2 linked regions of the Arabidopsis thaliana genome follow. The protein of the gene in region 2 purifies or fractionates together with the protein of the main gene of each other region. This does not show direct contact. Each region holds a gene or a part of one and is shown on either strand. Other genes may lie near its edges.

What was found.
Region 1: the proteins of AT5G48650 (region 2) and ATERDJ3A fractionate together in Arabidopsis thaliana (co-fractionation; one large-scale study listed by BioGRID). This does not show direct contact.

Annotation. Positions count from the first base shown.
Region 1 is NC_003074.8:2,730,906-2,743,102, forward strand, and holds ATERDJ3A (DNAJ heat shock N-terminal domain-containing protein), read left to right. Parts: upstream 1-6,391; 5' UTR 6,392-6,400; exon of another isoform or gene 6,401-6,451; intron 6,452-6,547; exon of another isoform or gene 6,548-6,582; 5' UTR 6,583-6,683; coding exon 6,684-6,773; intron 6,774-6,989; coding exon 6,990-7,045; intron 7,046-7,141; coding exon 7,142-7,215; intron 7,216-7,370; coding exon 7,371-7,882; intron 7,883-7,991; coding exon 7,992-8,333; intron 8,334-8,537; coding exon 8,538-8,891; intron 8,892-9,069; coding exon 9,070-9,360; 3' UTR 9,361-9,644; downstream 9,645-12,197. Other genes in the region: AT3G08960 (ARM repeat superfamily protein), read right to left, coding at 1-13, 93-199, 415-636, 727-771, 1,045-1,203, 1,318-1,422, 1,510-1,692, 1,788-1,877 and 13 more; AT3G08980 (Peptidase S24/S26A/S26B/S26C family protein), read left to right, coding at 10,374-10,527, 10,621-10,693, 11,111-11,270, 11,393-11,470. UniProt on the Arabidopsis thaliana protein: Regulates protein folding in the endoplasmic reticulum (ER) lumen. Functions probably as a co-molecular chaperone that is required for normal growth of pollen tubes under high-temperature stress.
Region 2 is NC_003076.8:19,722,327-19,734,387, reverse strand, and holds AT5G48650 (Nuclear transport factor 2 (NTF2) family protein with RNA binding (RRM-RBD-RNP motifs) domain-containing protein), read right to left. Parts: upstream 7,717-12,061; 5' UTR 7,536-7,716; intron 7,142-7,535; 5' UTR 7,110-7,141; coding exon 7,065-7,109; intron 6,946-7,064; coding exon 6,808-6,945; intron 6,621-6,807; coding exon 6,314-6,620; intron 6,243-6,313; coding exon 6,013-6,242; intron 5,904-6,012; coding exon 5,684-5,903; intron 5,571-5,683; coding exon 5,443-5,570; intron 5,324-5,442; coding exon 5,258-5,323; intron 5,174-5,257; coding exon 5,110-5,173; intron 5,034-5,109; coding exon 4,855-5,033; 3' UTR 4,624-4,854; downstream 1-4,623. Other genes in the region: AT5G48657 (defense protein-like protein), read left to right, coding at 1-369; AT5G48655 (RING/U-box superfamily protein), read left to right, coding at 1,902-2,114, 2,217-2,274, 2,388-2,503, 2,589-2,813; AT5G48640 (Cyclin family protein), read left to right, coding at 8,747-8,778, 8,895-9,001, 9,152-9,191, 9,359-9,403, 9,598-9,716, 9,825-9,939, 10,193-10,243, 10,363-10,510 and 1 more; AT5G48630 (Cyclin family protein), read left to right, coding at 11,269-11,416, 11,530-11,569, 11,663-11,707, 11,788-11,906, 11,998-12,061.

The sequences.
Region 1 (12,197 bases), on a different chromosome or scaffold from region 2:
ACTGGTGCATGTACTGTTTCCAGAAACGCGATAAATTATATCACAAAGATACATAAGTCAAACTGTTAATTCTCGACTGTGCAAACCTGTACCTTAGTATTAGATCAAGCTTGTCAAGAACTTGGGGCATTCTAAGTGTAAGTATTATGGAAAGAGCCAAGCCAAATGTCTTTTGTTGCATGGGAGACGCATGGTCCACCTGCACGAGTAGATGCAAGACTAAAGTGCGTCAGATAATGAAAAAGAAACATGCATTTCAACATGTAGAGCAGTTTGACAATGAGATATTGCTTAGGATTCAAGAAAAAGACCATGTAAAGACATGAAACAAGTTAATATTCCATTATCTGAAAGTTAATAGTCTAGAAAGCTATTCGAACAACCAGTAATGTTCAAGATGTGTTCTTCACTGACCTTGTCGAGCCAAATGTCGATGAGGCAAAGGAGTATATTGTCTTCGACTGGGACACCTGCCTGTTGGAGTAACACTGAAAGAGATGAATCAGATGTTAGCTGGGCCAGGTAAGTGGTGTTCATCACCAGAATCCTTGCAAGGATAGCTGCTGAAGACACTTTAACTGCAGTCTTGGATGGATCACGGTCATCTCCACCACTCAAGCAAATAATCACCAGTTTCTGCGAGAAAACGAACAAACCAACTCCATCAGATGCATTAAGGAAGAAAATGGATTTTGCATCCATCAAAAGAAGACTAGAAAAATTCACCTGCAAACAGCTGCTGATGAGAGGGGGCACTTCCACAGGAAAACACTGCTCAATACACAAGCACATGTTCATATCAAGAAGTTAAACTTGGCGTAATTTGCAACACATTTATAGAGAGTCATGACAAAAAATTCCAGTGTAATCATGCCAAAAGTTCCATTACTGGTCAATATATATGTATCCCAAGAGATGAGGCTATGTAATACAAAAATAAATGCAGTCTAGATACAAACTTAACAGAAGAATAAGTATCTCTGGAACTTAAACACCATCACAATAAGGATACGACCAATTGGGAAAATGGGAAATTATACGCACCTGAACTAAGATGTCAATCACTGGAAGAATCGAGAGTAAACCCTTATCATTTACATTTCCAACGATAAGATCAAGAATTTTTGCGACACTTGAAGCATGCATATTTAGAAATTCTCCTCCATCCAAAATGATATACGAATCCATGATACTGACAGCAACCTATATATGGTCATTTGAATGTCTCAAGACGTAACATGTTGAAGTAAATCTGAACACACACATGTATAGGTCATTAATGAATCAAACAACTCCTTGAAAACTTAAAAAGCTCACCTGTAAATGATCAAAACTTCTTTCAATGATCTCCACCATATAGGGAAACAATGCTAATAGCTGGGGCACCATCATAGGAGCATAGGAAAGTGTGGTTTCCCATAACTGCATATGTAGAGCAGTGTTATTAATATATAGCGCATTTGTATCAGCAGAAAAGAAAGGTATACATGTTATGATATGGAAACTTACTGCCATGCTATCCTCCAGAAGGTTGAGTGAATCAGGGCTATTTATGTCAATGCCCTTTTGGAGTATTGGGAGCAGTATGCTATAGCAAATGGGAGACTGATAACCAAGTGCAATCACAAAATTTCGCAGTGCGACAAGAAGCTGGATCTGCAGAAGGCTTTCACCAGAAGATTCCTCCCAAACCTGTTCTTAAGTCAACCACATAGATAGTCAGCTATAAATTGCGGACCAAGAAAAGAAAAAACAAAAAAACAAATCCACAAAGAAAGCTAGTATACCTTCTGGAAGAATTGCACCAACTTTTGTGCGTACGGAATGACTTCGCTAACATGGCCAATAAGAGTAGAAATCAAATTCAGAATTTGAACCTGAGAATAGTTAGATGTTGTATGAGTCATCGAAGGAAGTATAATGGCAAGAATGGAGTGCTATAATGAATTTGAGGCAGCTACATCAAGTACCTTCGAATCAAACTCTTGAACTACCTCGACCATTTTGAAACATGAATCCCAACAGATTGGAAGAAGATCAAGAAAACTTTGCTCCGAAAAATTTGCATCCTCGACATGTAAGCATAATGACCTACTAGCTGCCAGCTACATAAGTAAACAGATGATCTCAGAGGTCACCAATACATATAAAGAAAAAAATGAGAGAATGTGCCCTTAATGCAAGACAGAAAGATAAAAGAAACAAAGATGAGATAAGATGAGACTACCTTTACAGCGAGGTCATTGTCTTGCAACAATTTGATCAAAGCACAATAAACTGCTCTTTTTGTGTCATCCTTAATCTGAAAGGTTGTAATCATCAACCATTTACCATTAGCCAACCATTTTTCAACCAAAATCTAATTGACGAAAACTAGGGTAGAGAAGAGAACACAAACCAACAGGGTAACTAACCCTAATAGCCATTTGTAACAAATAACCAGAAACAATTCTGCTTTTAGATGGCTATCCCTCATTGACTCAACTTATGGACAAGATATTATGTCAATTTGCAAATTATGTTATAATCTTAAGATGCTTTTAGAAAAAAAGATAAGATGTGATTTCCTCCAAAGCCTTGTCAAGCTTAGCTGCATAAACATGGTAAAGCCGGTGTAAAACAAGTAAACAGCAGTACCTCCGAAACCCAATGTCCCAATATCATAGCAACTTTTCGGTGGATGATACGCCTATTTGGATGGTCATTTGAGAGTTCAAGGGATAGAGCACCATTAAACCTGCAGCCAATCATCCGATCATTAAGAAGGGTACAATAATTACTTGACTAATCAAAACTTTTGTCACATTCTGCTGGCTAGCAAAATGAAGGGTCAAGATGTTTAGAGCAGATGGAAAAAAGATTCAGACATTAGAAGATCAAGAGCATACCAATCTCTGAAATTAAGATAATTCGAGAGCTCATAGTAGACATATGCAGTAGCAGCGTATGCCGCATCTTTAAGAAGCAGTGCAGGAGTTATTTCAGTAACAGAAGGGGGACAATTATTCATTGCTTCTTGAAGGATGGACACAACAATAGGTCCTAGCAGCTGTCCACAATTATAGAGACAGATGGAATACGCATCAGTTATAGCGTTTAATGATATCTATATCAATTAGCAGACTTCTTTTCAGAACAGGATGAAGTGCCTAAGACTATTTGCTACTTACTTGGCTGTAGTTCTCAAACAAAACCATATATAGAGCTTCAGCACAAGGCCTCAATTTCTCTGTCCACTGAATCATGTCCTGCTCATGATGAAAGGACTCAGGGTTCTGGTACCACTCCTCTAGGTCACTTGCTGTTAGTACAAAATACCTGTTGGAATGTCGATGGTTAATTTCAGTAAACTTTTCTTCCAGGCATCATTCATACAACGACCATGACACCATCACAGTTCACAACACAATAAATGAACTTAATGCATGCAATAATTTTCAAACTAGCTCCACTAGGCCCCGACAGTAACATTGCCTTCTCATTTATTCCATGCACGCAGCAAGAAGAGATTGAGACCAGAGATACATAGATGTACAGCAACTAGATCATTATGTGTCCACAAGATTGCCCCAGCTCATATTATGTTTTGGATTTTGCATTGGTATTGAAATTTATGTATTATCAAATTAACTAATAAGAACTAAGGCATGAAATAATATGAATATAACAGGGCCACAGTTTGGTAACTAAGAGAGACCCAAAAATTTGAATTCACATATCTTACTGTTAGTTAAGAGTGTTACCGTCTCACTAGTACGTTGCAGAGAAGAACTATCCTTTCATTGGGTAAAAGTGACGACACAATGCCACCAACTGTGTTGGAAGCATTCTTCTTCCTCTGCTCAAATGTATCTCCGTTGTCATCCATCACACGACCAGTTCGACTTGGCTTATATTCTTTACATTCAAGCACAGATTTCACCATCACCATACACTGAATAAAAAAATCTTCAAATGGCAACAATGCCTGTTCGGGGTCCGTTATCTTGTTTAAGCAGAAATCCACTACAACTGGAAGAGCACATTTATCTCCAAACGAAAATGGATGCCTGCTTTGAATAGCACCTAACACCTTCATCAGCTTGACACATGCCTTCTTTACAAACTCCCAGAATTTAGGATCTCGATTTTGAAAAGATGAATCTGCATGGAGGCTCCACACAAGTTAGCAATACATACATATATATGTGTGCTGACAGGTCATATGCATGAAAAAGAGTTTCCACCACACAAAAAAACTCACAATATGGAAGAAAGGATTGAGCCGCATTCAAGAGCGCAGGAGAGACTTCTTTCACTGGTTGTATCTCCTGAGAGAAACGAGTTAGCTGTATATTCTTTTATCTGCATGAAGAGCATATGCCGGAGAGCAAGAAAGATTTCTCTATCCCGATGTAGTCAACCAATCTATTAAGGTTATGATTTCAACTTAACCATTGGAAGATAGCAGAAGAAATGGAAAGTGCGGGGAACGGAACACATATTTGGCGAAACTATACCACAAGTTCATAGAAGGGAGATAGCTGAAGGTGAATGTGATAATGAACTAAAAAGATTCATGAAAAAGTATAGTGTATCTACCTGTATATTATTGGCATCGCTTAGAAATCCTGAAATTATCAGTTGGCGCACTATTTTCAAACATAAAAACCACCTCTCACAAGTCAGAAAAAGCTCATCGTGATGCTGCTCGGCACTATTTGAACCATAGCTCTGAACCATTGTTGAAAAGCCATGTAGAATTGTTTGGACATCAGTTTGCCAAAGGTGCCAACTAAAGTCGAAGAATTGCGACGAGATCTGCCAACAAATTAAACTGGACCTTATCCTTAACTAAAGCAAAAAACGAAGCTTTGGTCCAACAATAAATTCATTCAAGAGGAGAAAGGAAACTGATAAGGGGTTGATGTTAGTAGCAGACTCACCTCAGCGAAGGTCTTCTGATCCGCAGTGAGACGTTTAGTAGACAATTCCTTTAAGGTTCGAAAAAGAATCAGAAAGATTCTGTGAGAAGCCAGAACGTCAGCTGAGTGAAGCTGTTGCGCTAGTACCGAAAAGAGATCAGGCCTGATATCATGAAGCACGCAATGCATAAACTCAGTAAATCAAGGAAGATAGTGTCCAGTTAATATGAATTAAGAAGGGAAAATGCTGACCATTCCCTAGGATAATCAAAACGGGCTATCTTCGATATGAGAACAGCCAACATTTCCGCTATCTGCAATAAAGCAAACAAAGTCAGATAGATATGCTTACAAAGTATATGCCTCAAATGGTGTAGTCAAGGAAAAAAATCAAAAGTAAATGCTACAACACCTGGTAGTTCTCTTCTCTCAAGTGAGACAACAATTTCTGCCTCAGATGACTCTTTTCCTCGTTGCTCATACTCCTGTAAGAATTGCCAGAAAGAGTGTCAAGGCCTAACATACAGGGTAGTATCTTTGCAGAGCGAAGAATCTAAACGAGCCAGCTAAAAAGAATTATAAGTAGAATTGCCGATTCCGGAAACAACTTGAACTTACCATGAATTTCTTCTGCTCTTCCAATGACGGTTGATACTGTTCTTGAAATACACTGAGGCCATTAATCTAACGTCCACATGGGACACCAAATCCTTGGATGCAATTACTTCCTGCAACCAAACCAGAGGAAATGAGCGAGTAAAATCAAGCTGACATTTGCAGAAACCACAAGACACATAGATTAGAAACGCTACCATAAGGCAAGAACAGAAACCAGGTCTACTCTCCGACAGAGATAGAGCCGCCTCCGCCGGCCGCCGAACGGTCTCGTCACCGCTCATTGAATTAGCTAATAGCGTGTACATCGCCGGCAAATCGGAAGCCGATAACGCCATCAGATCCGACGATATTGTTGACCTAATTAACCAAGGAAACGTCGAGGATGAACCCTAGAGGTTTGTTACGACGACGATAAAATCTCACGGCGAAGGAAGGAAAACGCGAAGCTAGTAGAGACAGAGAAGAGAAGAAAGATCGTCTTCTTCTTCCTCCGTCTTTCAACTTCTCTTAAGCTCTTGAAACGTAACAATGTCACTAGTGAAAATGATTTCCTCTTTTTTTTTTAACAGTCGAAGAAAAAAGAAATACTTACCGTCGCTCTGATCGGATTCCGATCACCCAACCGGAGACTTTCGTTTTGGGCTAACTACAGATTATTGGGCCTATAATAAATAAGCCCAAATTAATAATCGCGCGTGATCTTAACGGCGCGTGAACGCAAATAAACAACGATCGCTCGTGTTTGCTAAAATCTTATTGGTGGAGATACGTGGGATTGCATCAAATTTGCCACGTATGATACCCGCCTTAAATTGAGAACGGGAAGCAACCGGAATTTATTTTCAGGAAATACGAAACAACCCCTGCTAGTTTTTGAAGTGAGTAATTGCCCCTACCAATTTCTTAATCCAATTGACAATTTTGGTGTCTTTTGTAAGACTATTAAATATGGGGAATACTCTAAATTAATTAAAATATATATGTCATTCGAGAAATTTCCTTTTTTTCCTTTAAACCCTGCGAACCTATTTAATGATGTCCTTCTCGATTTTTCTCGAAGCGTTGAGTTTCGTGAATAAGACACGCTTAGAAGAGGAAGAAGAAGATTCGTTGACAACAAAACAATAAAAGAGAAAAAGATTGAGAGGTTGTACTTTCGGGATGGTGAGAACAAGATTGGCGATATCTGTTGTTCTTGTGTCGACATTGTTGTTGTTGAATGTGAAAGCGAAGAGCGTTGATCCTTACAAGGTACGGTTTGTGATTCATCTTGTTTTCTTTCCATTCACAAGTCTTTTGATTGGGGCCGGAAATAATGATTACTTTTGATTGTCCCCTTTCTCATTGAAGTTTGGGCTGACAAATTTGTGGGTGTTATAGAAAAGAAGGATTTTTGATATATTAGGTTTTGCTCAGTAGTTTTTGCTATTGATTATAAACATTATTAACTAATGAATGCATCTTCAGGTTCTTGGAGTATCTAAGGATGCAAAGCAGCGTGAAATCCAGAAAGCTTTCCACAAGTAAGCACCCTTCGTTTCTAGTCGCTGATTAAGCTAATAATTCGAATGATGATCAACAAATAGTTTACTCATGTAGCTTGTGATTTTTTTTGGCAGGCAATCTCTGAAATATCATCCAGATAAAAACAAAGATAAGGGTGCTCAGGAGAAGTTTGCTGAGATTAATAATGGTAGGTATCAAATTTCCCTAGGAGATGTGTCCTGTAATCGAATCTTTTAGTATATTATAAGATTATTCTTGTTCTATGGCCATGTGTTTGTGGCACAAATTGAATTTTTGTTGATCTGGCTTTGACAAGTTTAAACCCTTATCTATGTGTAACAGCGTATGAGATCTTATCTGATGAAGAGAAGAGGAAAAACTATGATCTTTATGGAGATGAGAAAGGACAGCCTGGATTTGATTCGGGGTTTCCCGGAGGTAATGGTGGGTATTCTTACTCCTCAAGTGGTGGTGGTTTCAACTTTGGAGGGCCTGGTGGTTGGCAAAATATGGGCGGTGGGGGAGGTTCCAAATCGTTTTCTTTCTCGTTTGGCGGTCCTAGTGAAAGCTCCTTTGGTTTTGGTATGGATGATATCTTTTCCATGTTTTCGGGCGGTAGTTCTAAAGGAAAGGAGCAGTTTGGTGGCTTTGGTAGCTCATCGAATGCTGAATCTAAATCAAAGAGCAGTACTGTAGCAGCTATCAAAACCATTAACTCTCAGGTCTATAAGAAGGACGTTGTGGACCAAGGGATGACTTGGCTTTTGTTGTCGTATCTTCCATCTCAGAGGGGAAGCCAGTACCATGAATCCATCATAGAGGAAGTTGCTGAGTCGTTGCAAGGAGCTTTAAAGGTAAAACATATGCTTGTCAAGTTAGTTGATTTTGGGTTTTCTGTTTCGTTCTTAAAAGAAGAAGTGTAGTTTCTTTTGTTGTTTACGTGATTTAACTTTATGTTTACAGGTTGGGCGATTAAATTGTGAAACAGAATCCTCTCTTTGCAAACAACTAGGCATAGTTCCTCGTAGGGCTCCAAGGATGTTTGTTTATTCATACACATCAAGTGGCAAAGCTACCTTAGCAGAATATACTGAAGAGCTTGTTGCAAAGAAGGTGAAAAGCTTCTGCCAGGAACATCTACCGAGATTCTCAAAAAAGATTGATCTGAATACATTCGATGTATCTGCCGTTAGCTCACAAAAGACTCCTAAAGTTTTGCTTCTGTCAACAAAGAAAGACACTCCTGTCATCTGGCGGGTTCTAAGTGGCTTGTACAATGGACGATTTGTCTTTTACAACACAGAGGTTTGTTATATTTTGGCTTTAATTTCCACTTACATCACTATTCCTACAATTATTGTTACTGCGAGAGTCTGATGGTCGTAGAAATTATGGGGTGGTTCCCTGGTCCACGTTTAATGACGAGTCAGCAAATTTGAACTTAATTATTAGAATTCCTTAGACATGAAATCTTTTTAGCTAAAGTATTTTTTTCTCATGATCTTGTAGGTCCATGATACTTCTGATCCAAAGATACAAAAGTTGGGGGTAGACAAGTTTCCGGCAATAGTTGGTTGGTTATCGAATGGGGAGAAGCAAGTCTTGAAAACAGGTATCACTGTGAAAAATCTGAAATCAGCTGTCCAGGAACTTGGTAAATTGCTTGAAGGATTAGAGAAGAAGAACAAGAAGGTCTCTTCTAAGAGTCAGGCGGGCCAAGCCCCTAACGAGTCCTCAGAAAAGATACCTCTTCTGTCAAGACCAAATTTTGACTCCATTTGTGGGGAGAACACTCCTGTTTGTATCATTGGTGCCTTCAGATCGTCAAATGGTAAAGAGAAGCTGCAGTCAATAATGTCCAAGGTAAACAAATATATCACTACCTCTATACTCTATTTATATGCCTTTGGCTCAGTATGATAGTTAAACACGGTTCTTTGATAAATTTCAAGAAGTGAAGCGGTGTTCTTTCTTCAAGCCATTACTCTTTTGGTTCTTTGACTTGATGATGAATAATCCTCCGGCTCTATTCTTTGTCCAGGTATCCCAGAAATCACTCTCTCGACGACAAGCTTCAACCACAGGTTCTCAGGACACAGTATCCTATTCGCTTCTAGACGCAACAAAACAATCTGCGTTCTTGAGCTCCCTTGACAAATCAGAGTTCAAAACTTCTTCTGATAAGCTCCTAATAGCTTACAAGCCTCGACGAGGTAAGTTTGCTACATTCAAAGGCGATATGACTATTGAGGAAGTTGAGAAATTCGTAGCAGCTGTTCTTAACGGAGACATACAGTTCACAAAGACAAGACAGAAACCCCAGATCAAATGAAAGTTTTTTTTCATCAGACATTAGTTTCAGAGATGTACATCGTTTTGGAGGAGAAAAGGGTGATTTTTCACGTTTCCTGTGTTGCAATCTGCTTTTGACAGTAAGTTTGTGTATTGTCAAGAGACGTGAAACAGTTCTATAGGACTAGAATTATGTCATTGTACTGAGTACTGACTACTGAGTTCTTTGTAATTATTACAAATTATAAATATGAAAATGTTGGGGTTTTGACTTTGAACCCCAACACACTTCTGAAATTAGAGACCGGTAAAAACAGTTTAAAAGCCGCAGTGACCCTGATTTACTCCAGTTAACCACACTCTATAGACAAGTTAGAGTGTTACTTTTTGGCAGAATAACAGTTTAAAAGCCGCAGTGACCTTCGGGCCTTTGACCGCGAATCCAACGGTCACGAACCGGAAGAAACCAGACTAAATCCGCGACACGAACTTTTTGATTGAACCGGCTAATTTATGGTACCAGCTAAACCTTGTAGAGCAAAAGAGAAACCCTGATTCTTCTTCTTCACATCGTCGCGAGCTCTGGTTCTCTGCTCTCATCCGCTTCACAAAATTGATTTGCGAGTCGTTGTGTTCCAACTCTCATTCTTTTGCACCTGGATTTCTTCCATTTTCAGGTTATTACAATCACGTTAGATTTTGCGTTTTTTTTGTTTTCACAGTCCTGTGGTCGATTTCGATACGGTTCGATTAGGCTTACACTTCAGATTAGTTTCATCTTTCAGTTCCATGAATCGATTAGGTTTAGTTCACTAATTTTAGCATGGTTTGAGATTAGATTTAGAAAACCCGATTCATTAACTGGTTGACAATGCTGTGGTTTTAGACTGTAGTGTTTGATCTAAAATGGTTTTCTGTTTGATATAATCGTATTGGTTGTATTTTAAATCTCATTTAAATGATGTATCAACTATAAAGCCTTCTGGTTTTGTTGCAGATAGATGGTTCTATGAATGTTGCTGAGAATCAGATATTAGTTAGGCCATCTTGGACATGGGAATCCAGAATATTTTATGGCAAGTGGCGAAGAAATCATTCACTGGAAGTATTATAGGGCTTACCATTTCAGATAGATGTTGTAGCGTTGTTCCAGTGAGAGGAGATTCCATGTCTCCCACATTTAATCCCCAGCGGAATTCTTATTTAGGTAAGTGTCCTACTGCACAAACTGCTAGAAGGTAGACTTTTGCTTATTTTGGTCCATTCTTCTTTCTTATTAGATGTTCAAATGTTGATGCAGATGATTATGTACTTGTGGACAAATTTTGCCTTAAGGATTACAAGTTTGCGCGTGGTGATGTTGTAGTGTTCAGGTATGTTCCCTATAATGCCACATTTGAGTCATCCTTTGACAAGGGAAGATTATAGCTACATAATACTTAAATACATGTTGATCTCTTGTTTAAACCTTTTCTTGGATGCTTACAGCATTCACAATTTTATTAAATCTAATTCCCTAAAACCTTACAAATGTTTGTTGTCCTATTTGTGGTGCTGAACCATGAAATTCGTGCATATTCAATCTCTGGTACATTTGATATAATGTATTTGGTCATGAATACAAACTCTTTGGATTCTATTCTTGCTTTTTGCTTCCTTTAGCTCAGCTTTTTCAGGTCTCAAATCTGTTTTATAATGTTCATCTGACATTGTGCCGTATGTGTTCTAAGTTGTATATTTTGAAATACATCATTAAGCTCCTGACGATGTGAACTGCATCTCTGTGGCAGCTCTCCGACACATTTCGGAGATAGATACATAAAGAGGATAGTCGGGATGCCTGGTGAATGGATAAGTAGTTCTCGGGATGTGATCAGAGTCCCAGAAGGTCATTGTTGGGTAGAAGGAGATAACAAAACTTCCAGCTTAGACTCAAGATCCTTTGGCCCTGTAAGTTCTCTGCTTCCAAACCCCAGCACATAGTTTCATAGAATTAGAACGTAGATGATGCACATGATATTCTTTTCAAGGCCTGTCCCATGTGACTGATCTGGATAAACTTGTTTTGGCAGATTCCTTTGGGTTTAATTCAAGGAAGGGTCACTCGTGTCATGTGGCCTCCTCAAAGAATAAGCAAGATCGGTCGATAATGCTAATGGAGAATGAAAAGGTATGTTCCTTCCTGTTCCAAATGAATACCCCCTTCCTCAAGATTCTCTGTTAAGGAATCTGCTTCATACCAAAGAATGGTTTATCAGAAAGATTGAAAGGTCGTTTTTCTTCTTCCCTTTTCATACAATGTAGGACGTCTCCATGTTCCTCAAGATCTCTATGGGAATTCTCAAATTCACATTTCTATCCCATTTTTTTTTTTTTAAATAGAAAAATAAACGACACTTAAATACTCCGTTCTCAAATCGGAACCAAAGTCACGTGTCAATGATACCAATTAACACTCTTCGTTCTTATATCGGTTCTGGTCAGCTTCGATTTCTTTTGTTTCAGTTGAATTCCAGTTGATGGAATTAAATTCACTTGGTCGATCCGGTTTGGTCGCTTGTTCGAACACGAGCAATTAAATCTAGTCCAATCAGAAAAGAAAAGACATACCATGGGAAATAAATAAATGCTGTAATAAATTACAATGTTGTACACGTGGTAAGTGTGATTAATTCCTTATGTTAATTTCCTGGAAGAATAAGTGTTTATTATATAAATAAATGCATGGAAAATTCGAAACCTCCTCCTTGCTCTGGCGTTTCTCCTTCGGGGTAAGATCAATTTTGGTTGTTCCTCCACTTTCTTTCTTTTTCTTTTTTCTCGAATTTTCACTGTCGTACAAATTTTCTCGTCTTTGCTGGAAATTTTCTGGGAGAT
Region 2 (12,061 bases):
ACGGGTTCTAACATGGAAAATCAGAGTTACACACTTATCTTTGACAAAGTGAAAGAAGATAGGAACCAAGCGAGATCTTACAATGGAACCGATCATAGCACCCCGACTCGACCCATCATCGACCAACATCATCAACCATTACCTTCTAGTCCCAAGGTAGATAACCAAAATATCATTTCCCTTTCTTTCATAAATCCTCTTTTTTTACAATTGACGTTGTTATGTGTAGGGTTGCTGTTTTCCTCCATGGAGCCGAAAGGGAAGCTAATGAAGATGATCATTTCCCTTTTTTACATAATCCTCTTTTTTTTTATTTGCTTCTGCTTGATTTTTTTTAATAATATCTTTGTTATTCTTATGGAGATGTAAGGAGTAGTTTTTGCTAAAACATTATGCAACTTCTGTTACTCTATTTGCGTTTTTTTGAACAATACTCAGATTCATTTATAGGGGTGAATCCTTTTATTCACCTCCTATTATAATAAACAAAAATTAAATTTACTTAATTATAATATACAAACCTTAACTATTCTTTTATAAACCCAAGACGATATTTAATTTCGTTTAGTTACAAAAAATCTAAACTCTAATCTCTTTTTGTAAACCTAAACCGACACTTAACATCGTTTAATTATAAAATATAAATCCTAACCGTTAATTTTAAATCCAAACCGAGTTTTAACCTCGTTTAAGTGTAAAATCAGAATCCGTTTATAACCCTAAACCGAAATTTAACTTCGTTTAATTATAAAATCTAAACTCTAACCCTCTTTTATAAACGTAAAAAGCCAAACCGACATATAATTTCGTTTGGTGACATGTTATATTTTATAATTATTATTATTTTATCAGATAAAAAATTCTGATTGGTTAGAAAAGATGAGGTAAATAAAAAGATTCACCTCTACATGTGAATTGTGAATCCAAATATTTATCAGAAAATCAAACGTTACGATTAAAATGACATTTCGAACATTCATGTATTTTATTTCAAATTTGAAAATTTGCGTTTTTTCGACATTTTTTTAAAATGCGGTGGATAGATTTACAAAATTAAAAAGTTGAAGAATTTCTTAGCAATATTTATATGTTTTTTATTTACCTGTACGAGTGTTTGAAAATCCAAACAAATGGGCTGAACAAAGTTTTATAAATTGTTATCGTCATTGCTAACGTAAAACCCAATGGGCTATTTAAACATCTCAAACGGGTCCATTTTAGAAATTTTGCTTTTTCCTAGGAAACAACACTGTAAACCACGAGGAAGCTACATTACGATTTCGACACGTGTCACAATCGCACCGACCGCGTCGCTTTTTATTACGAACTCAAAAAACTCTCACCGTTTCTCACCACCTTCGTGTTTCTCTCTCTATTACAGAAAAAAAGATTCAAAAACCCTAGATTTCACAAAATCGATTGGCTGTCAAATTTCTCTCCGGCGATTTTCCTCGAGTGAAATTCGGCTCAAGGTGATTATAGCGATCATCGAATCAAATTGATTGAAGAGGTTCTTCTCTATCAAAACCTAATCTAATTCATTTCTCTTGTTGTTTGATTAAAAACGATCATTCTCGATTTTAGGATCGGATTTGTTAATTTGATCGTCTCGTTACTGTCAATTGAGTTTAATTTCGTAAAGTCGATGAATTTCTGGGAGATTGATTCTTTTCCCTTTTTGCTGTGAAATTGTGTTCTTTTGAAAAATTCTGTCTAAAGTTTGGATTTTTTTTTTCTGTAAGTATATGTGAAACTATACATTTTGAGATTATTCACGGAAATTATATTATCTTGCTTGCAATGATTTGAGTTTGTATATAAGACTTTGAGGAGTAAATTAGATTGTTTTATTGTTTGGTTGAAACTTACAGGTACAAAGGTTAGTTACTTTGAGCTGAAAGATGAACACGTCAGAGGTGAGAGTACCTCGAGGAAATCGACGGAGGAAAGCTGTGATTGATCTGAATGCGGTACCTGTTGATCAAGAAGGGACCTCTGCTTCTGTTAGAACTCTTACGGTGCCTATTACACCGTCTCAGCCTGCTCCTACGATGATTGATGTCGATGCTATTGAGGATGATGTTATTGAATCATCCGCTAGTGCTTTTGCTGAAGTATGTTTGATTTCTGTTATCTTTTAGTTTCTCATTTTTGCAGTGATGGATAGGATTTGTTTGTGTAGTAGGTTCACTGATTTTGTTTTATTTTGATACCAGGCTAAAAGCAAATCAAGAAATGCACGTCGGAGACCTTTGATGGTTGATGTAGAGTCAGGTCAGTTTTTATCTATTGTGAAAAGAAATTTTACTCTTCTGGTTCAATGTCATGTCTCAAGTAGTAGGGAGAGACAGAGAGTTTGATGGATGGATTTTACTTTGTGTTTGCAGGAGGTACGACTAGATTCCCTGCCAACATAAGCAACAAACGCAGAAGGATTCCTTCTAGTGAATCTGTCATCGACTGTGAGCATGCCTCTGTAAATGATGAAGTCAACATGTCTTCGGTAAGAGAGATGTGAATTTCTGGAATCATGTACTGTGCAGTTATGCGATTTAGTCTAAGCTCACAATTTCTTTTATCTTGTGTAGAGAGTGTCTAGATCAAAGGCTCCAGCTCCTCCACCAGAAGAGCCAAAGTTTACATGTCCAATCTGCATGTGTCCCTTTACGGAGGAGATGTCAACCAAGTGCGGTCACATCTTCTGCAAGGGATGTATAAAGATGGCAATATCTCGCCAGGGCAAATGCCCTACTTGTAGGAAAAAGGTTACTGCAAAAGAGCTGATTCGAGTTTTCCTTCCAACCACTAGATGAGTGGTCCGGCAACATCACCAGCCACCCTGTAGGTCAAACAATGATTATATTATCATCCACGTTTGTAGAGATTTACTAGATTTGAATTGTATACTTAATTAACTAAACTGGAATTTGGTTTCCATTCTCACAGGTCTAATGGTTTATCAGACTATCCTCCTATTCACTTTGGAACATTGAAGGGACTTCGTTGACTTGGTATTTTTGAATATTTTGCTTTGTTGGAAGAGAAATATTCAGTGATCAAGAAGCCAGAAGGCCCTATCATTCGATGGATATCATTGGTAATAACTCTTTGTTTTTAGTTGTTGTTCTATGTAATTTAGGTCTCTGCAAACCTCTCAGTCGATACTCTTCTCTCTTGATAGATGATAAGATATATGGAAAAAAAAATTAATATTGAATCTTTACTAAAATTCTACATCTTGATCATGTCGTGTATGCCAGTTCTCATCTCACATTGCTGATAAATGCGTAAAGTATTTATGTATGTCAGTATGAGCAAATAGTAGGAATTATAAGGGAAATTTATTGTGAAAAAAAAAAATAAAAAAAAAATAAGGGAAATTTATTAGAACTCCATGCACTGGGTCTAGAGTACAATGGTAGCAGAAGATAGATTGCAGAAGCTAATAGAATCGGTTTTGAATCGATGCTCTATTGCTCTGCCTTGTGGTTATTCACTCCTTAAGGTCACATTTTGCTAGCATGCATCGTCACCTAGTCATGGAAACTTGGTGGATGCAGCAACATTGGCATCACCTGTAGTCTGAGATCCGGGCACGGGGTTCTGTTTGTTGAGGCCAGCTTTGGGAGGAAAATAACCAAACCGTCTTTTATGAAAGGGCCAGCCATAATGTGGAAGAGGAAACCAACCCCAGAGTTGCTGGTTATTGGTGATAACCTCACTTTGCTCCTCAGGTGCATACCTCCCTTCAGCGCCTGATAGTAGAAGTGCCAGAAGGAGCTTGGCTTTCGTGTTATTCTTCTCCATTGTGATTTGTATATGGTAGTCTACTTTGATTTCTCGTTTTGCTGGGTGGTTATACTGAGAAGTAAGAACTGGATACTATAGGCCAAGCTGGTGATATGGTGGTTTTTTAGATGCCTTCTTTGTGAGGGATATTGAATGGTGTATAGATTATAGTTTTTGATCCTTTTGGAATGTTAGTCCACAGTTTTATTAACTGTTGTGTGATTAAGATCTTTCTAGTGGTAGATGCAATTCCCTGAACTCCATTGATAACAAACAGACCAAGAACACCAACCTCTTGAGCCTTGAATCTTGTAGTCATGGAGTGTGATTGGTATAGCAATGTATTGTTGAACATTAGCTTAGTTTGTTTTCTCTACCAACTGGTGAGTCGCGACATCTTAAATATCAAGAAGATAGAAATCGCACCTTGCTATTCCTATGTGTAGCCTCTGAGATTGTTGGCCTTAACGACTAGGTTTTGGTAACGACTCAAATTACTTGTCTTAGTTATATCTTTTCCATCTGATCCAACAGTCCTGAGTAACCGTTAAGCGGTCACTTAACTTTCCCAAGAAACCTAAACCACCATCAAGCCAAAGACTATCTCAGTCAACTAAACTCGACTAAGTGTCGGTAAACTTATTTGGCTAGTTGAGCTATATAGTTTAGTCGAAATATCTCAGTTTTTCCAGCTCATGTCATCTCGTCAATGCACTTTTTCTCAATACTGGGTAAAAAAGTAGCTCATGCTGCTGCATCCGGGTCAAAATTCCTAGGTCAAAGAAGGAACAGTAATACCAGTATACCACACGTTCAGAATCAAATAAAAAAACAAAAAACAAAAGCATAAGCACATTCATTTCATTAAATTTAGATTGTCGAATTAGAAACGTCTTACATATCATAAGCCATAATATCACCACAAATCCTTTTTTTTTTTTTTACCTTTTACTAATATTTGAATACCCGAGAGAGAGATATCTACCAATTCTGTCTGTCTTGCTACCATCTTCTTTCCACCATTCCAAAAATCAATTATCCGCCACAAGAGAACCCAAATCCGCTCTAGTACGAGTTGATGCTGGCGACGTATTCATTGCCTCTACGGTTAAAAGACCTTCCTCCTCCTCCAGGACCTCGACCTCCCCTCCTGTAATCATAGCCATATCCATAACTTCCTCTTCCTCTCATTCCCACTCCCACATTCCTATTTCCGTATCCCACGTTTCCATTTCCTCTTTTACCTGTTACTCAAGCAAACAAACAATCATCATCCTCTTTCTCCACATTACCATATCAACGTTTTGCTACTTTGCTCACCTCTTGATGTCGATAGCTTCTCCTCCACAAAAGCTCTCAGTCCACCAATCTTCACAGGTGAAGCCTGCATCATTCAGATGATTTCATATCGGTTTTCTATAATGCTAAACAAGAAAGTGAAAATTATATTCAAGGTTAGAATATAAACCTCTATTGCTCTGTGGGCAGCATCTGCCTCCTCAAACTCAACAAAACCATAAGGATAACCAAGGCCCTGCCAGTCATACAGTAAATTATCATTGTTCAGAACAATAATATATGTAAGATCTGCCAGTCATATATGTAGGATTCAAGCTTCCAATACTTAAGTGTTAGTTGATTGGTCAATCTTACCCTTTGATTTATGACTTGAATCCCACCATTGGTAATAGCTCCAAATTGCTTAAATTCAGCCTCAAGCATGTCAATGTTGGCATTAAAAGGAAGATGTCTCACATAAATAGATGTACCCTCAGCTACCGCTAATAAAAAAGACAAAAGAAGTATAAAACCATGTCATGAATAGATATGAGAATATAGACCACCAAATATTATAATTGAAAACTTGAGGATCAGCTATACTGTGAACTACTACCTTCCTGATTGTGCCCATTTTCAGAAGCATCAACAGACTCAGAAACTGTATCAGATTCTATCACTTGAGAAGGATCTGAAGATGCTTGTTGACCTTGGTCTTTGAGTATCTGGCCTGTAGAAGGATCTGAAGGCGCTTGATGTTCTTGGTCTTTAGGTATCTTCTTTGGAGAAGGTAAAGAGACAGCTGGAACTCCAAATTTATCTTTCGTAACCTTCAACTGTTATGATAGTCATTGATTATCAATAGAAAACTCAAGAAGTGATATAGTAAAGCCTAAAATAAGATGTAACAAGATCGAGTATGAATCCTCTAGGGTGACTACTTACCACAGAGGCATAGGATTTCTTGGGAGCATCTGCAAGTCCATCATCAGGGTCATAATTTTTCTGTGAATCATCTGCAACTTCTTTGCAAGTTATCTCAGTCCTTGCAACTTCATTAGCAATCTCAGGTACCAGAACATTATCCTTAGCATTCTCATTATCCAAGGGTTTGGACACTTCCTTACAAACAGGATTCACTGAAACACATGCAGCTTGCTCCGAACCCTTCATGCCTGTAGGAGCTAAAGTGTAAGAAAAGGATTGGAATAGAATTTGCGTTAGAAGAAATATAAGTTTAACTTACCATTGATAATAGTGGGTGTTGTAGAGTTTATCCCAGAAACAACTTCCCCATCTATGGTCTCTGGAACATTATCCTTAGCATCATCATTAACAAATCTGAGGATGTCATTCAGAACAAAGAAACCCTTTTCTTGCGGGGCAAGGAAAAAAGTTTGGGTGAATTTCCTTCTCGATCTCTCGTTTAGAGTGAAGTATCCAGTAACGAAGAGAAGGAAACCCCCATTGTGAGACTCTTGAGTATCATAACTGGTTATCTCAGCCGAGTTGCAATCTCCATAAGTCAGTCTCTTAAGCTCCTCACTTATACCCTGCACAAAGAATAAGCATCAATGAGAGACACTTTTAGCAAGTTACTTAAACTGCCATCCAATTTCCACCATACCAAATGACACTCCAGCCCAACCCCATGTTAGTTACTAATCCTTAACATCATAAAAATGATATAGTCTCATCCTCATTCAACCAAACCCAACTAAACTACTAAGAACTACTTACTTGAAAAGTGGAGAAATCACGCATGACTCCGTCCTGTCCAACACGGCCAACTCTACTGATCTCTTGATAAAACCGGGGCAGATGCTCAGGCATGTTACAGAAAATGTAGTAGTACTGATTGACAAACGCACTCCCAACCTATATTAACCAAACCCAAAAATACACTTTAACAACAACAAAAACAGAACAAACCACACAAAGAATCACAATTACAACTAGTAAAAAGGAGAAGAAACCCCATAATTGAAAAAACATACAGTAAGTGGGTCAACAACACGTTTGGTTGCAGCAGTAGAATCCATTGTATCGCCAACTTCCAGAGAATAAACAACACCTGTAATTCATAGAAGACTGTCAAAACTCAGAATCAATGTAAATCACAGAACAACCCAAGAATCATGTAAAAAACAGAAAATCTCTAAATCTCACACACAACTTTCCAAAATCGTTTCCGTAGAAAACGTAATTCATGAACTACACATAGTGACTCGATAAACACTTAACAAGCAAGAAAACGAACTAAGAGGCAACAACAAAATCAACTTCACAAAAGCAACCCAAAATCGTTTCATGAAATAAACACAGAAACAACTTCGAGAAAAGCACAAACTAGCTAAGAAACCAACGAAATCTACTTCACATTTCACTCCGAAACAGTGTAGATCACATTTTTCCGGCGAAATCGTGACATTAAACTGACGGAAGAGAAATAGTAGAAGAAGATTCACCTGAAATTAGTGAAATTGGAGCTTCGATTGAAGTCTGGGACCAACAATGGCGGGACCTAGGGTTTGATCGCTAGAAGGAAGGCCAAGTGTACGGAGAAAGCGAAAAGGCAACGGAAGAGGACTTTGTGGGGACTGTGAAGAAGATGTTTATATAGACGGGGAGAGAGTGTGTGTGTTGACGACTTTTTTATTGCCTTTTTGACTCTCACGTGTCAAACATGGTCCGTTGCACTTCCTCACCTTTCTTCAACAGATTTTATTCTCCACTAACTTTAATATTACTTACCTTTTATTAATGAGTACATTAGATTTTAACTTGGGTTAGCACATAATCCCAAAGAATTCTATAAGGTGAATTAGAGAATAATAACTCCTCTTGAATTGTTTTGATAGCGAAAAACCGGAATTAAATTTAGACACGGGATAATCGATACTCTTCTCGTGCGTTTTTTAGATTGTAGTCAACTTATTTGGCTTATTCCTTTGTCATGCGGTTTTTCTCGTGCGTTTTTAGATTGTAGTTTACCTATTTGGCTTGTACCAAATATTGAACGTGAGAAACATGTAGGGTGTTAATTTGAGTATGTATTAGTCTAAGTTTAGTTTGAATTTAGTATGTTTAAAGAAAAAAAGTTAGTTTTGATAAAGGAGTATGGGCTCAATAAAACAAATGAACATGTATATTAGGCAAACGAAAAATGTGTGGTGTTCTTCTGAAAATTCTTTTATGAACACCCAAACTTATGGTTAGAAGAAAATCACTGATCAAGCGTTTGAACAATACATGATACAAAAACTTGTGAGAGAAAAATATTCGGTGTGGCTGATGATATAAAGCTAGAATTTTTATAGCCTTAATCATGACGAAAAAAACCAAACTCAAATTTAATCCTTTTGAAACTGATTATACCTCGTCGAAATGATATATTCGGTCACTTCTTAGCTATTTATAAGATTTCAATTTTTATCATCTATATGTTCTGTTATTCAAAAAACAACGAACATGTTATATCAGAGTTAATACTTTCATTTGTTTGCCTATTGGGCCGATAATGGGCCGAGCCTTAAATTTAATTTCAGAAAAAAGCAACGATATGATAGATCATGAGACCACCAACCAAAGAGATTTGACAGATAACAGAAAAATGTTGAACTTATGAGCTAAAAAAGCTTCTCCTCCTTACCAAAGACTCGACGGTCTACCGGAAAAAATGGCTGCCAATTTCTGGAATTCATCTCACTAGTAAATGTTCTTTAAAACTTTACCCATCAAAATTCACTTCTTCTTCTCCTTCTAAGCAACTTCTAATTTCAATTTCTCGAATTTTTTTGTTTTGTTTTTGCGTTTGTACGAAACAGTAAACAGCTTTTGGATCCAGAAGAAGTCGACGTAGTTCATGATCTCGATAAAGAACGTGGAATCTCAATTGATGATTTTAAGCTCATCAAGTTCCATATGTCTAATCGTACGAAATCCTTTTTCTTCTTAATTCTTCGAATTCTCCTGCTTACTTAAGCAAATTTGTTGTCTCTGTTGCACTGGTTTGATTAGAGATTGATCAGAGAAGTTTTTTGAGTTTATGTCTCTTTGTTTCTTCATTTATTGTTGTTTTCAGATATTATGAAATTGGCTCAGCACATTAAAGTGAGGCAAAGGTTGGTTCTTTACAATTTGGGGGTCCAATTTTTGCTATATCAAAGAGATTCTACTGTTGCAGTACTTCCATTACTTTGTTTTGCTTCTGTAGATTTAACTAGCTCTAATATCTGGTGTAACCTGGACTTGTATATGAATCGTCGCCTTGGTTTTTCTACTTATGTAGGGTTGTAGCTACTGCAATTACGTATATGAGACGGGTTTATATCAGGTATGCAATGTATTTTTGATATGATCGTATACATCAATGTGCATCTTTGTGTATGTGAGGAATGAAATGAGTTAAATTCTTGTCATGCCAGTGTCTCTCTATGTTGCATCTCTGCTATCAAAAACGTTAACTGTGTTACGAAAGTTTTCAGTTTTGGTGTCTAATATCTTCCTTTTGTTACTATACTATCTCAGAAAGAGTATGGTAGAGTTTGAGCCTCGACTTGTTGCTCTTACGTGCTTGTACCTGGCATCTAAAGCTGAAGAAAGCATAGTGCAGGCCAGGAATCTTGTTTTTTACATCAAAAGATTGTGTAATATCTTCTTCTTCTGTTTTTTTATTTTTCAAATCATGAGAGTACCTCCCCTTCAATATGCTTTTTTTTGACATATCGACGACAACGGTTCTTATATCTTTGCAGATCCTGATGAGTACAACAAATATGAACTAAAGGATATATTAGGAATGGAGATGAAGGTGTTAGAAGCACTAGATTATTATCTGGTTGTGTTTCACCCTTACCGGTCATTATCGGAGTATGTCCACTCATCTCTCTTATCCGCTTTTCGGAAGCTTTGAACATGTTTGCCTTATTGTCTGTGGTTACAAACGGAGAAGTGTAAATGATGATACATGTAAAAACTTGCAGTCTTCCCATACAATGTTCTTGATGTTTCTCATTATATCAAAATTTTGGACCACCTTAATATTTCCTTGGTGAGAGTTTTGTGTGCCTTGATGGTCAGAAAATCAACACTCATTCTAATACTTCATTCTTTTGATTTCTAGGTTTTTGCAAGATGCTGCATTAAACGATGTAAATATGAACCAGATTACATGGTAAGTCCTTCTATATGAGATATATTGCATAGAACTCAATTCCTAGCTCCAACCTTAAAATCTAAGAGATCTCTGACCTGTATAAAAAGCATTTTGAAAACCTATTTTCCGTGTTTCAGGGGAATTGTTAATGATACTTATAAGATGGACCTCATTCTTGTACACCCTCCCTACCGCATAGCGCTAGCATGCATATACATAGCAAGTGTCCACAGAGAGAAAGATATCACTGCATGGTTTGAAGATCTTCATGAGGACATGAACTTGGTCAGTCATTCTTCTAAAAGTTATTCAATCATTAGTTAAAGCGAATAGCTATGATCTTTTGCGTGATTTTCGGTATTCTTTAGTGACTTTGAAAGCTCTACATGGGGCAATGGGTTGCAGGTAAAGAATATTGCCATGGAGATACTGGACTTCTATGAGAACTACAGAACAATCACAGAGGAAAAAGTGAATTCTGCCTTCAGCAAATTGGCTTTGAAGCTGTAGAGAATCACCTCCATCTCCAAGACTTATCGCACAGAAAAAAATGATTAGAGACTTCCACAATTGCCCATCCATCTAGCTTTGTGGCAAACATGTAACACTGTTATTACCAAACCTATTAATCTTAAAGTAAACATTATTGTTAATTGTTCATCATAATGGGTTTGTTTTCCCTTTTATTTTCTCCAAAACCTAAACCTCTCGTAGAAGCAAAAATGTGAAATAAAACAAAGGTCAAATTGATGAAGATGAGAAATATGAAAAAAAAAAAAAGATTTCATATAAGAATTTTAAAAACTTTTTTTGGTAAATAATTTTTTTTCTATCAAAAAAGATAAATACTGAATTATTACTTTTTTTGTTTTGTATTTTTCCTTGGTGGTCTTTATGCTCTCATTATCCACACCATAAAAATAAAAAGCTTGTATTTTTGAAGTTGAAGGATCAAAGAAGCTATGGCTTCCAATTTCTGGACTTCGACGCACTAGTAAGTTTCAATCAATGATTAAAGATCGTCTTTTTTTAATTCAATTTCCATGTTCCTGATTGATTCGTTTTGTGGGTTTTATTTTCACAGCAAAGAGCTTAAGGACCCAGAAGAGGTTAATGTTGTTCATCCTCTTGATGCTCAGAGAGGAATCTCTGTTGAAGATTTCAGACTCATTAAGCTTCATATGTCTAATTGTATGTTTTCATTGGATTTGATTACCTTGTTAATTAATTTCCAGATTGGATTTAACATCTCTAATGTCATGAATCATGTTTTTCGTGTTTTCCTTGTTGTTATTTGATTTCAGATATATCGAAACTGGCACAACACATTAAGATTAGGCAAAGGTGAAGTCTTTCGTTGTTAGTCTTAAAGAGATATGGAATGTGCTATGACCCTTTGAACAATGCTGACTGATTTTTAGCACTTTTATGATTCAGAGTTGTTGCAACTGCAGTAACCTATATGCGTCGTGTTTACACAAGGTATGGCTTCTTTGGTAATCGTTGTGTAGCACGAGGCTTGGTCATTTGATTTATGGGTACTGTTGTGTGTGTTTTGACAGAAAGAGTTTGACGGAATATGAGCCTCGGCTTGTTGCTCCTACATGCTTGTATTTGGCTTGCAAAGCAGAAGAGAGTGTGGTGCATGCCAAACTTCTTGTCTTCTACATGAAAAAACTTTGTAAATTCTTTTTTGTTTTCTGCTTCCAAAATTTTCTTGAGTTTTTTTTGTCTGAGTTTCTGATGAGATTGGATGCTTTCACTCTCTGTAGATGCGGATGAAAAGTTTCGATATGAGATTAAAGATATTCTGGAAATGGAGATGAAGGTCTTGGA